Linked DNA regions of Arabidopsis thaliana. The protein of the gene in region 2 purifies or fractionates together with the protein of the main gene of each other region. This does not show direct contact. Each region holds a gene or a part of one and is shown on either strand. Other genes may lie near its edges. The genes, in order: ATCS and HMGS.

What was found.
Region 1: the proteins of HMGS (region 2) and ATCS fractionate together in Arabidopsis thaliana (co-fractionation; one large-scale study listed by BioGRID). This does not show direct contact.

The regions. Positions count from the first base shown.
Region 1 is NC_003071.7:18,314,309-18,321,350, reverse strand, and holds ATCS (Citrate synthase family protein), read right to left. Parts: upstream 5,074-7,042; 5' UTR 4,959-5,073; intron 4,932-4,958; exon of another isoform or gene 4,769-4,931; intron 4,696-4,768; 5' UTR 4,679-4,695; coding exon 4,628-4,678; intron 4,530-4,627; coding exon 4,464-4,529; intron 4,318-4,463; coding exon 4,276-4,317; intron 4,095-4,275; coding exon 4,029-4,094; intron 3,937-4,028; coding exon 3,871-3,936; intron 3,749-3,870; coding exon 3,635-3,748; intron 3,527-3,634; coding exon 3,463-3,526; intron 3,286-3,462; coding exon 3,203-3,285; intron 3,075-3,202; coding exon 3,025-3,074; intron 2,946-3,024; coding exon 2,868-2,945; intron 2,724-2,867; coding exon 2,595-2,723; intron 2,461-2,594; coding exon 2,418-2,460; intron 2,327-2,417; coding exon 2,240-2,326; intron 2,073-2,239; coding exon 1,971-2,072; intron 1,623-1,970; coding exon 1,515-1,622; intron 1,424-1,514; coding exon 1,373-1,423; intron 1,226-1,372; coding exon 1,152-1,225; intron 1,075-1,151; and 5 more. Other genes in the region: AT2G44360 (ecotropic viral integration site protein), read left to right, coding at 65-172, 257-496; AT2G44340 (VQ motif-containing protein), read right to left, coding at 6,506-7,042.
Region 2 is NC_003075.7:7,108,311-7,114,009, reverse strand, and holds HMGS (hydroxymethylglutaryl-CoA synthase / HMG-CoA synthase / 3-hydroxy-3-methylglutaryl coenzyme A synthase), read left to right. Parts: upstream 1-1,906; 5' UTR 1,907-2,108; coding exon 2,109-2,171; intron 2,172-2,196; exon of another isoform or gene 2,197-2,581; intron 2,582-2,694; coding exon 2,695-2,801; intron 2,802-2,912; coding exon 2,913-3,045; intron 3,046-3,127; coding exon 3,128-3,271; intron 3,272-3,360; coding exon 3,361-3,519; intron 3,520-3,600; coding exon 3,601-3,674; intron 3,675-3,750; coding exon 3,751-3,826; intron 3,827-3,905; coding exon 3,906-3,961; intron 3,962-4,044; coding exon 4,045-4,132; intron 4,133-4,213; coding exon 4,214-4,354; intron 4,355-4,449; coding exon 4,450-4,599; intron 4,600-4,691; coding exon 4,692-4,886; 3' UTR 4,887-5,126; downstream 5,127-5,699. Other genes in the region: AT4G11810 (Major Facilitator Superfamily with SPX (SYG1/Pho81/XPR1) domain-containing protein), read right to left, coding at 5,560-5,699.

The DNA.
Region 1 (7,042 bases), on a different chromosome or scaffold from region 2:
TTGTTACTACAACATTGACAAATACAGATGATTTTGTTGCCTACTGATGATTTTTGTTTCTTAGGTAGAATCATTGACAAATACAGAAGAGGTTGAGCTACGTTCTAAGATTGAAGCTCTTGGTTTAGAAGTCACTAAAGTGCCATCAAAGTCTGCTCAACACCTCAATGAGGTCTGTATCCTGTGTTCACTCATATATCTGGTACACATTGTAATGTAAATCTGAGGCTTTGTGTGTGATTGTTTGTGTTTTCAGGTGGAGATAGCTAAGGAATTGGACAAGTTATCAGCAAAGTTAGATGATGTGGATGAGATGATATCATCAGCTATAGCTTCTGATCCACAGGTTCAGACGCTTCTTAGCGGCACAGCTGATGTTTGGATGCCGGTTATCACTGCCGGCGCCGAAGAGAGACTCAACTTCACAGCCTCTCTTGCTGATGATGATGACCTTTCTAACAAGGAGACTACTACCGACAATACCAGCAGCTCTTAATCCCATTTTCTTTTTGATAAACTCATGTCGAAGTTTTCTATTTTGCAGTCTTGTTTCTTTTATGTATATCAAAACCAAGATAAGCTTTAATTCATGAGTGATATTGATGTTTGATTTTTACGCAAACTGAATACAACTGTTTATTTATTATCACGAGTTTCCCGGAAATGCAAATTTGCACCAAGCATGTGTTTCTCAGGAACAATTTCTACATGAACAAATGTTTCTTCTGTCAATAGAAGGTAAAAACAAAAAAAGCTATCCAGTGTGGAAGAGAATGACTTTTGTTGAAACACGAGAGAGTGCGACAACTCAGGACTCGGTGGTGACTTAAGCAGATGAAGCTTTCTTACAATGGGCTTCAAGCCAGTCCATGGTAACACTCTTTGGCCTCTCAAGTGCAAGTCCAAGAGCTCGGTCCCATATAAGCTGTGAATTAAACACAAATGAGAATGGAGAGCATATGAGTTCTGTTTTAAATGTTATGTAGTAACAAAGGCGTAATGTGTAAATATATATATGTTACCTGAGAGCAGATGCCAAGACTCCTTGAAACACCAAAGAGCACGGTGTAGTACCTATAAAACGCACAGATATTATATTTGAGTGCTATCCTAAGGCTCAATGATACTTGAAGGAGGTGTCTACTTCTTACCTTGCTTCGGTTAGACCATAGTGGTTCAGCAAGACCCCACTGTGAGCATCAACATTTGGCCACGGGTTCTTCACCTGTAACAAGCCATCATCGGATTCGCAAGTAAATAAAAAATTGATTCGCAAGAGATTCATAAGCCCCTAGCATGTAGGTAAGGTGTTGTGGAGTTGTTGGTGGAATATTGAAGGATCACCATGGTAAACGAAGGATAGAGATACTACCTTTCCAAGCTCAGTGAGAACAGGAGGCACAACTTCATAAAGCTTTGACACCTACAGAGTTGGAAGGATTTTGTTAGCTACTGAACATTGATAGAATTTTGAGAACCGAACAGAAAAGAGAAAAGAGAAAGAAAAAAAGTACCAGCTGGAAAAGAGGGTCGTCAGGTAGATGCTTCAAGGCAAATTCTCTTTGGCATACATATCTTGGATCAGTATTGCGCAGAACACCGTGACCATATCCCGGAATAACCTAGAGACAAAACAAGACTCGTCAATAGATCATCATTAGACTATCCTTGTAACATTACATCCACAAGGTAAACTAGGATAGGGAAAAACAGGATCCAAAGCTCTTATGGCAGTATTACTTACTAGGAGCAGTTAGAGCAACTGACCAAACTATGAGGTCGTAAATAAGAGGACCCATAACAGTATCACACAATAAATTGAAATATTAGCCTATTATGATGACTAGTAGACAAGATGTTAATTCATTTTCGCATGCTCCATCAGTCTTGTTGGCTGGCTTCAAAAGTGGGATTCAGGTACAAGACCAGAAAGTAAAGAATGTCAAGGCAGAGGAATTTCCTGTTTTTACCTTGCCACTGTTTAATGTTTTCCAAACATATTCTTTCAACTGTTCTTTTGATATATCTTCTCCACATTCCTCTACGACTGATTTGATCCAAAGCAAAACTTCCTGTTGAAACAATAATAAAAAAAGACTAAGAATTTGTTTTCTCCAATTTATGGTTGTATCATCAAACTATCACAACCTACCTAGATAAAATACAAAAAGCCACTTACGAAGCTCTATTGTAGATTGAAGATTTAAGACTTATTCAAGATATAGACAAGGGAGGATACCTGATTAGCCAAACCATGGAGTGGCCCAGCTAAACCATTTAATGCAGCTGCAAATGACAGATATGGGTCTGAAAGTGCACTACCAACCTACATGAACAAGAATTTTTAGCAAAAGAACCATTAGAAACTTCAGGTAGGTCAATCCTTTAAAATTGACACATGGAGAGTATATACATACCAGGTGACCAGTGTGAGCACTAACATTTCCACCTTCATGATCACTAGAGCAAAAAATAGTAGAAAAGCAAAATGTTATACAAAGGTCTATTTAAAGTCTTAAAAAGAACAAACAAATTTACAAGATAATTAAGCTTATTTAAGGAGACATGCATGGGTGACGAAAATTAATACAGACCTGTGGATGGTGATGTAAAGCCTCATGAGCTCTTTCACCTTTTCATCATCAAATCCCAACATGTGGGAAAAATTTGCACCATAATCCAAAGATTTATCTGAGGGAATGGAATCACCATTCTTATACATCCTGCAATGATGCATGGAAAAGGTCAACAGTCAATACAAAGCAAAAACAAGAGATGGCAAATTTTCCAATAAAAAAAAAATCATTGCCGAAAATCCAGAAGCTACAAGAAACATGAAAAAGAGTACAAAAAGAGTCTTCACTAACCTTCGATAAACATATGCAGCTACAACAGGAACACGAGCAATCAGGTTGAGGCAATCCTCATATGTTGGCTCCCAGAACCTGGAAGAAAAAATCTTTGTTATGATGCCAGCTAATATGAAACGCTATCATGAACTAAATCAGAACCCCAAAAGCATACTTTGACTTATGAATTCCATTCTCATATGCCTTTTGAAACTCACTTTGCACCTGGATATTAGGTAAAGAAAATTATCATTCTGCTGAAAATTGTTTACTTATAGCCAAAAAAAACAATAAGTTTCCAACGCTTATCACAAGAAGAACAGAAACAACAATACGAGTTTAGAGAACCACACCTGGAGGGCCATAACACCGCTAGCAAATTGAGTCATTGGATGAGCTGTGGAAGGCAGAGCATCGATGGCATTGTACACATAATCTGTATAAAAATTGGATACAAGTTAAGAATGAATGAAAGTATAACACAAAACCCACAAATTTATTTCATTTCTGTTAAGCAATTTCTTGTAAGCATTGATGTCAAACAAGTTTGAATGAGCCAATAAACAGACTCCTTTATTTGCAACAGCCAGAGCGAAAAAGGTAATATCCAAACCTGGCACAGCAGCACGGTTCGCCAAGTCTTTCGACAGTGCTTCAACTTGCTCTTTGCTAGGTACCTATACGAAAAAGGGTAAAAAAGGATATCATAAGATAATCTATTGAGGAAAACTAATCGACTGGACATATCCAGAACCAACTTATAATAATGTACAGAAGAGCCACACCTTTCCAGTTAAGAGAAGCCACAAAAGACCCTCCGGTAATGGTTCAGCTCCAGACTGGGCAGTAGGTAATACTTTCTGGCACTCAGGAATCGACAATCCCCTAAAGCGAATACCCTGAAATAATGATAAGATAATTGCATCAACAGCCTTAGAACAGGAAGGAGGAGCATTTGATATATTCTATATCTAGGATCTAACCAAGCTATTGTAACTATATACAGAGAGTTATACAGTACCTCTTCCGGGTCAAGCAATGAGGTTTCCCAAAGCAATCCAGTCATCCCTCTCATTCCACCAATAACCTTTATTTCAAAGGGGATTATGATGAGTTATGCAATGGAAGGTGAAAATCATATAAACAAACCAAAAACGTGAAAATCATGATTGTTTCTACCATATCAACAGTGATGTTTCCCAGTTGGACCTTCCCATGTTCTGACTTCAGTTTCTTCAGACGGTCCTGAAATTGGAAAATTCTTGTGAGAAAAGAGGAAACTAGAAAAGCAAAGAGATTCACTACAACTAGCCTGCCTTCTTAACTTAACAATCTCAGCTAACATAACAAATAATACACACATTCAATGAAAAAAAAAAGTCAACAACACAAATTTTCATTTAAAGCAAACAGAGTCTAATCTAACCTGCTGTTCCGGAATTAACTCTTGCAGCTGCGACTTCAGGTCCTGCATTGCCACCATTTAAACAAAATGAACAAAGACCCCACAAGCAGCAGATCCCAAACCAATATTAAACTTACATATGATCATGATCATGAAAACTACATGATCACGATCACACACGAAAGTACGAAGCAACGGAGATGATTTACCAGGTCGGTAGAGCTCTGCATCTGAATCCATCTGACAGAATTGCTGAGTGAAGATTGTTGGCCCTGCTTACATAGATTCGATCACCAATCAATCGATTAGCATGAACCAGCGAGATCAAACGAGAACAAACACAAAACTGGAAACAAAATTTTCAAATACTTACGACGCGAGACCTCAGCCTAGTAAAGGCCGATACGCTGCGGAAAAACACCATTCTCCAAAACTCAAAACCTGTGACAGACAGTATCCACCCAATTCTCAAAACAAATCGATCCGTGAAAAAACTCAAGCAATCAACACTCACCAAAATCAGAAACAAACAAAAAAAGTTTTATCGCCGAATCAAATAATTCAACAAAACTCAGAGATTCGATCAGCGGAATTCACCGGCGAATTCAGATTCCAGAAGAAGAGAAAAACAGGACTAGATTCTCCGAAAATTATGGAAGACCAAAAGGAAATGAGAAACACTATGAAGAAGCGAAGAAACATACCAGAGATTCGAGAGCTTCACGGAGATCGAGAAAAAAAAAAGCGATTGTTGAAAAAAATACTAAAAGCTGCGTCTGCGTGTGATGTACAAAATCAATCGGCGAAAGGTGAGCAAATGACATTTGTATATAGCTGGAGCAGGTTTATTACTAAATTCCAATTTTGACCTTCGAGTACTTTGAGAAGGCAAACCAAACTAAACCGGTATTGGAGAAAATAACCTTTAGGCGTATTATTCCGGTTTTATGAATCTCAAAAACAATTTCGGTGTACCGGTGTGGTTATTTTCGGCAATTGTTGATAATCATCATTTATTTCCTTTGCCTTATTTACGGTATTGTTGATAATCATCATTTATTTTTGGTTTAAGAAATCATACTAATATTTATGTGAGCTTTTCAAGCAGCCGGAACGTTTCCAAATCTAGAAAAGTCAGGTTTGAAATTGTCCTTTACAATGTTTTCATCCAATATTATGCAACCAAAACCGATTTAGACTAAAACAAATAATCCCAATGCCTGAAAAAGTAGACTAATTAATAAGTATAACATGTGCAGAACCTTACAAAATAAGATAAAATAAATGTTGACGTTCGAGAACTTTGAGAAGGTAAACCAAACTAAACCAAAACACAGAAGCAAGGGAGTAAACCGTAATCATATACCTTTTCGTTCTTTTGGAAACCAGACCGAATAATTTGGCTTTATATGAAAAGGTCAACGGACACTAAAATCTCAAAACAATTTTGGTGTACCGTTACGGCTATATTCGGTTCGGATCAATTTTCTTTGCATTTTGTTGATAGGTTATATCATTTTGTTTTACTTTATTTTGATAAAAGGGTTAATATTACTCACTGTTGAAAATGATATATTATACACGTACATCAAATATGAAAACACGTTATTTATTTTAGTTGAAGTACTACATGTATAATAAATATCATTTTCAACATTTGTAACAAAAGATTAGTAAACAATAATAATAAAAAAAATAATTTAGCTTGAGCCAGAATATTCTTGTTAACTTACAGTTTAATTTAATTAGTGTAACTGTACTTTAACCGAATAACCGTTATGTAAGTATCGATATTCAATATACACAATCAATCAGAGTATCTATATCGAAAACAAGTCGATCCTTGTTCTAATTCCATACAAACTTTTTCCCCAAAATTAAAGTACAGCAATCATCACATTTATCTGCACACCAAAGAATTAATACACATCCAATAATAGCACATCAATGAAGTTACATAATAAAACTAGGGCTTTTTTGACCGACCACATCTTAATTAGATACAGCCACTTCTCCTAGAAGGGCTGCACGTAGATTAAACTCTCTTCATCACAACTCTCAACCTTGGCAAAGTCAGTCCCGCCAAAAGTTTATGTCTCTCATCATACCCATTTGTTATATCTATATACAACTTCTATGCCTTTTTTCTCCCACAAAATATGACCTTATCGTTGCGATTAGATCTCATCTCACCAAATGCGATTTGCAGAATCAATAAGATTGAAAACCCTAGAAATTAATCTGTTATTAATTAAGACGAATTATGAGCCTTTGTATCGAAGTTGGTGTTGTTGTTGTTGTTGTTGTTGTTGTTGTTGTTGTTGTTGTTGTTGTTGTTGAAGATGAAACCTTCGACTTGTGAAGAAGAAGAGGATCTCATGGGAAACGAAGAGAAGTAATCTTCTCCGACATCTTGAATTAAACCTTCTAGATCAAAGTACGTGTTTGTGTTCGAAGTACTCTGATCACCTGATCCCCACTCTTCTTTCACCTGGTGGTTTCCTCCGTTTGCTAGTAAACCGGTGAAACCCGAAAGCCTGTTGACCGGCTGATGATCATCGCAAACCGGTTCTTGGGGAGTCGTAATTCTTGATTTGGCTCTCTTTTTACCGGTTTTGGCTTCTCCCGGTGCCGGTTTCCCGGTTAGACTCTGGACGAGTGAACGAAAGTTCTTGACGTCGGTCTTGATGACCTCCGGTGCAAATATATGGATTATGCGAATCTTGGGTTTGATCTTGGATATTACTTGTGAATTCCTGTTCATGGAAACCCTAGAACTCGAACCTTC
Region 2 (5,699 bases):
ATTCTTTAATGATGTTTGACCATTTTTAGTAACCAAGTCGGACGGTCAGGATGATAATGAGATCTCAATCGGACGGTGGCGGAGATTCCAAGGTCTTAGGGAGATTGTTGTTAGCTTTAGGAAAACGACAATGTTTTCACATGTTTCAAAGTCCAAACTCATTGATTCCAAATCACACCATGTTCTGTCTGATCTAGTTAACAGCTAATCACCAAAATATTACTGTATCATGTATAAATTTTTCGAATTATCTGAAAGGAATCGATCTCTGTCCTACACTTACATAAAACAATTTACACCTAAAATGGGAACCACTAATCTATAAAACTTAAGTTTTATTTATTTAATTTTTTGGTTGAGTTTTTTTTGTTGTTAATAATATTTTGTTTTTACGTGATGTTTCCACTTTTCATGTTGTTGAGGACTATAACATTTCAAAATCTCCCTATTAATAAACTAGATTACAAAGAGAATCAATACTAGTGTTAGAATATAAAAAACAAAATTAGTTAAGGAAGTTTATTGATAGTGTGAATTAATGTATAACTCATGACTTTTTCATGGTGTTGAGTTGGTTCGGAGTTAATCTAATCAATTAATGGTATCGGACACATTAGCAATCCACCAGGTCGTAGGTTTAATTTACCGAATATCATATCTTAAATTACTTCTATTTTTTCAGAAAAAATCAATATTTCTAATCGCATGTAAAATGAGTGTATTTAATTAAGAGAGAAAAAAAAACATATCTAATCGCATGGAAAATGAGTGTATTAATTAATCCTCTTCTTTAAATCATATTCTTTTTTTTTTACAAAATCTTTTTCCATTTAATTTACCGAATATCATATCTTAAATTACTTCTATTTTTTTAGAAGAAATCAATATTTCTAATCGCATGAAAAATGAGTGTATTTAATTAAGAGAAGAAAACAAAAACATATCTAATCGTATGGAAAATGAGTGTATTAATTAATCTCCTTCTTTAAATCATATTCTTTTTCTTTTACAAAATCTTTTTTTATTTAAATGAAAGTTGAAGTTCCTAACAAAATTAAACTATAATTTAAATCTATTTTTCTCTTTCTAATTTATGATTTCTTAAATATGAAACAAAAAAGAAAAGATAAAAAGCAACGAAAAGAAATTCAAATACAGACTTATAAGTAAAATTATACTATATTTCTACCAAAAAAAAAAAGTAATTTATACTATATTTTTTAATTATCTTTAATACTTTTTTATCCATTTTATTTATTCAAAAACAATCCTTAATTCCAAATAGATTGAACTTAACTCCAAGTTATCTCACCAAGTTACATCAGAAAGCTACTCTATCATACTTATCAACAAACCAATTGAATCCAAAACATAAACCAAACCAAAAACCATAACAAGAAAACCAAAACCAAAATTTAGGAGTAGCGAATTGGTAAATTAACGAATAAGAAAAGGGTAAAAAAGGAAACAAAAAGAAGCACGAGGGAGAGCTAACTCACGAAGTCTGCGTTGTCCAGATTCCGGACTGCACCAATCTCTCACAAGTCACAACATATCCATTTTCCAGGTAATTATTATTTGACACCTTTTTTTTTTTTTGTTCTTGTTTTTTTTTTGGTAGGCTTTTTTGTTTGTTCACATGTAGTTGTCCCCAGAAAAATATAAAATAGGTTAATTTTGAACCAAAAAGTTTCTTTAATTACACACCAAAAATTTTATAATTAAGTATTGATTCCACCAATAAATATATCTGGCATGTTTCAGTTAGTTTAAACAAAACCATCAAATTTGAAATTTAAAATTTATAACTAAAAAAATGAAGAACAACTGTACAAGTATTTTGTTGACCAAATTTAAAAAAAATTCACAACTAATTATAAATTAAATTTTTTTATTAGGAAAATAAAAAATAAAGAAAGAAAATCTGCTAATTTTTCTCGTGGACTTGTTTATTAAAAACAAATTGAGTTTTCATCATCAACCGATTCATATCTTTCTTCTTCTTCCTCTACAGCTTCTTCATAAATCTCTCTCTCTTCTCCTCTCTTCTCAAAGATCGAACCTTTCGATTTCAGTCTCTTCAGAGTTCTTTCGTTTTCATCGAAACAATGGCGAAGAACGTTGGGATTTTGGCTATGGATATCTATTTCCCTCCCACCTGTGTTCAACAGGTAACAAAACTCCAAGCTTTTTTTTTTTTATTCTCTCTGTTTATTATTGGAGCTATTGCATTTGATACTCTGTTTTTATCAGAGCATCTTTCTGTTTTGTGTACCGTTTTAATTCTCCATTTTTGACGTTTGGTTTCATAAATCTTCAAACTTTATGAGATTTTACGAACAGGGCTTTGAGAATCAATCCAAGAAAATCTCGTTAGATTAGACACACACACGAACACTTGTTTCATTGTCTCTGTTTTTTTGTTCTTTCTTCTCTGTAATGGCGGCGGAGTTTTGTATCCGATGAAGACAGAAAATGCTCAATTTTTAATTTTCATTTAAGAAACAAAAGGATTTTTATTAAATTTCTCTATTCTCAAACTCGAGATCTCTGCATCTGATTGAAATGAGGACTTTGAAAGGTTGAAAGGGTTTTTTTTTATACTGAGATTTATCGTATAAGTCTCAATTGGAAAAACTGAAAAAGGTACAATTTTGTGAATCTGATCTTGTTGATCATTTTTTGGTTATATAGGAAGCTTTGGAAGCACATGATGGAGCAAGTAAAGGGAAATACACTATTGGACTTGGCCAAGATTGTTTAGCTTTTTGCACTGAGCTTGAAGATGTTATCTCTATGAGGTATTTGTTTTCTGTCTCTTTTCAGTAATGGCTAATTGTTTTTTGTTTGCATATGTATCATAAACTCATGAAAAGACTGAATTGATCTATTTCTTGGTTGTGTTTTTTTAGTTTCAATGCGGTGACATCACTTTTTGAGAAGTATAAGATTGACCCTAACCAAATCGGGCGTCTTGAAGTAGGAAGTGAGACTGTTATTGACAAAAGCAAGTCCATCAAGACCTTCTTGATGCAGCTCTTTGAGGTATTCGTACTTTCTTTTGACCTGGATTGCTATTGTAAATACGTGGACCGCTCATGTTTCTTTGTATGTTGGGAATGAACAGAAATGTGGAAACACTGATGTCGAAGGTGTTGACTCGACCAATGCTTGCTATGGTGGAACTGCAGCTTTGTTAAACTGTGTCAATTGGGTTGAGAGTAACTCTTGGGATGGACGTTATGGCCTCGTCATTTGTACTGACAGCGCGGTATAACATCTTACATGGAAATGTTTTTTTTGTTATGCCTAAGAGTCTTTGCATAATTCTTGACTTGTTTATATTTTGTATGCTTTCAGGTTTATGCAGAAGGACCCGCAAGGCCCACTGGAGGAGCTGCAGCGATTGCTATGTTGATAGGACCTGATGCTCCTATCGTTTTCGAAAGCAAATTGAGAGCAAGCCACATGGCTCATGTCTATGACTTTTACAAGCCCAATCTTGCTAGCGAGTACCCGGTAACTCTTCAATGCATGATATTAAGTATTTCGAACAGAGAATCAAAGTCTTATATGTTATTGTTTCTTGTGTACTTGTAGGTTGTTGATGGTAAGCTTTCACAGACTTGCTACCTCATGGCTCTTGACTCCTGCTATAAACATTTATGCAACAAGTAAGTGTTTCTTTTCACAGTTACAAAAACTCAGTTTCTTTCTTCTGTTGTTGTGTGACTCTTTGGTTTTTATTAGGTTCGAGAAGATCGAGGGCAAAGAGTTCTCCATAAATGATGCTGATTACATTGTTTTCCATTCTCCATACAATAAAGTAATTTCTTAATCCTCCAACAATAGTTTTGTTCTAGTTGAATTGTCTCTTACCAGTCTTCTCCTCTATGATATTGCAGCTTGTACAGAAAAGCTTTGCTCGTCTCTTGTACAACGACTTCTTGAGAAACGCAAGGTTCTTGCTTATTAACTACGTTTTCAGATTGAAAGTTCTTTACTTGTTAAATGTGAGTGAACATTTTCTTTCCTCTATTGCAGCTCCATTGACGAGGCTGCCAAAGAAAAGTTCACCCCTTATTCATCTTTGACCCTTGACGAGAGTTACCAAAGCCGTGATCTTGAAAAGGTTCTCATCATTTCTCTTTTCTTTTGCTTTTGATACTGAGAGAAAACCGATTTATAGCTCAATCTGTTGTCTCTTTTGCAGGTGTCACAACAAATTGCGAAACCGTTTTATGATGCTAAAGTGCAACCAACGACTTTAATACCAAAGGAAGTCGGTAACATGTACACTGCTTCTCTCTACGCTGCATTTGCTTCCCTCATCCACAAGAAACACAATGATTTGGTAATAAAAGAAAACAAACTTTACTTCTTCTGGCTATATTGAACTCCATTTACATTTGGTTTGAAGTTTGTTACACATGTGTATGGTTGATTTAGGCGGGAAAGCGGGTGGTTATGTTCTCTTATGGAAGTGGCTCAACCGCAACAATGTTCTCATTACGCCTCAACGACAATAAGCCTCCTTTCAGCATTTCAAACATTGCATCTGTAATGGATGTTGGCGGTAAATTGAAAGCTAGACATGAGGTAACATAACACAAGAAGTGATTTTAGTTTCAATATGGAAGAAATGAATCGTGTATCATTGATCTCTGACTTGGGGCTTTGTTTTGTTGCAGTATGCACCTGAGAAGTTTGTGGAGACAATGAAGCTAATGGAACATAGGTATGGAGCAAAGGACTTTGTGACAACCAAGGAGGGTATTATAGATCTTTTGGCACCGGGAACTTATTATCTGAAAGAGGTTGATTCCTTGTACCGGAGATTCTATGGCAAGAAAGGTGAAGATGGATCTGTAGCCAATGGACACTGATTCTTGAAAAGGAACAAATCATAAAAAGTCACCTGAAAATGTTATGTTTTACTTGCACCATTTTAATCGTTTTATAAGTTTGTTGTTACTTTGATTTAGGGACAAAGAAGGAATGTATTCTCTGTTTTTATTTACTGTTTGATTTACTCTCTCATGCAAATGATAATTTGGAAATTATTGGAATCTCTATTTTGTATGTTTGTGTTCTTAACTAAGTCCATAAGGGTTACTAAAAGCCACAGTAAACCAACCTTAAGGTGAATGAGTCAAGGCACAACTCCGATCTTATTGGACTAGTTGCATGAAGGTGAAAGTAGGATAGGATCCGATCTAGAACTCACCGAGAGTCGAACAACGGCAAATCGCAGTCTAGAAGGTGACCTTGAAGAAAGCTGAGATAGTTTGTTGCATGAACTAATGTCACATCTAGCAATGTGTTGAAGAATGAGATTAAATCTTTCTCCATATTTCCACATTCAACAGCTTCACCAAATATTACTTTGCTCTTATAATCAGATAAATATATAATTATCATTAACGGTTCTAGAATAAACATAGATAGATAGCAAACAAAACTTTCACTAAGAGATCAAAGTAAAAGCCAAAAGAAAAGAGAAACAATGGAACCTAGGAGTTAGCTTAATAATCTCAAAAGCTGGATTCCTATGGGGCACTAATACAAGGAGTTATAAGTATAACAAGTAGCTAGGATAGACAAAACACAGATGATCAAAGAAGGAAGCAGAGTAACATTCAAAAGCATACTCTGTCCCAAGAAACCAGCCAAAGTGATCGTCGCATCCGCTATCACAC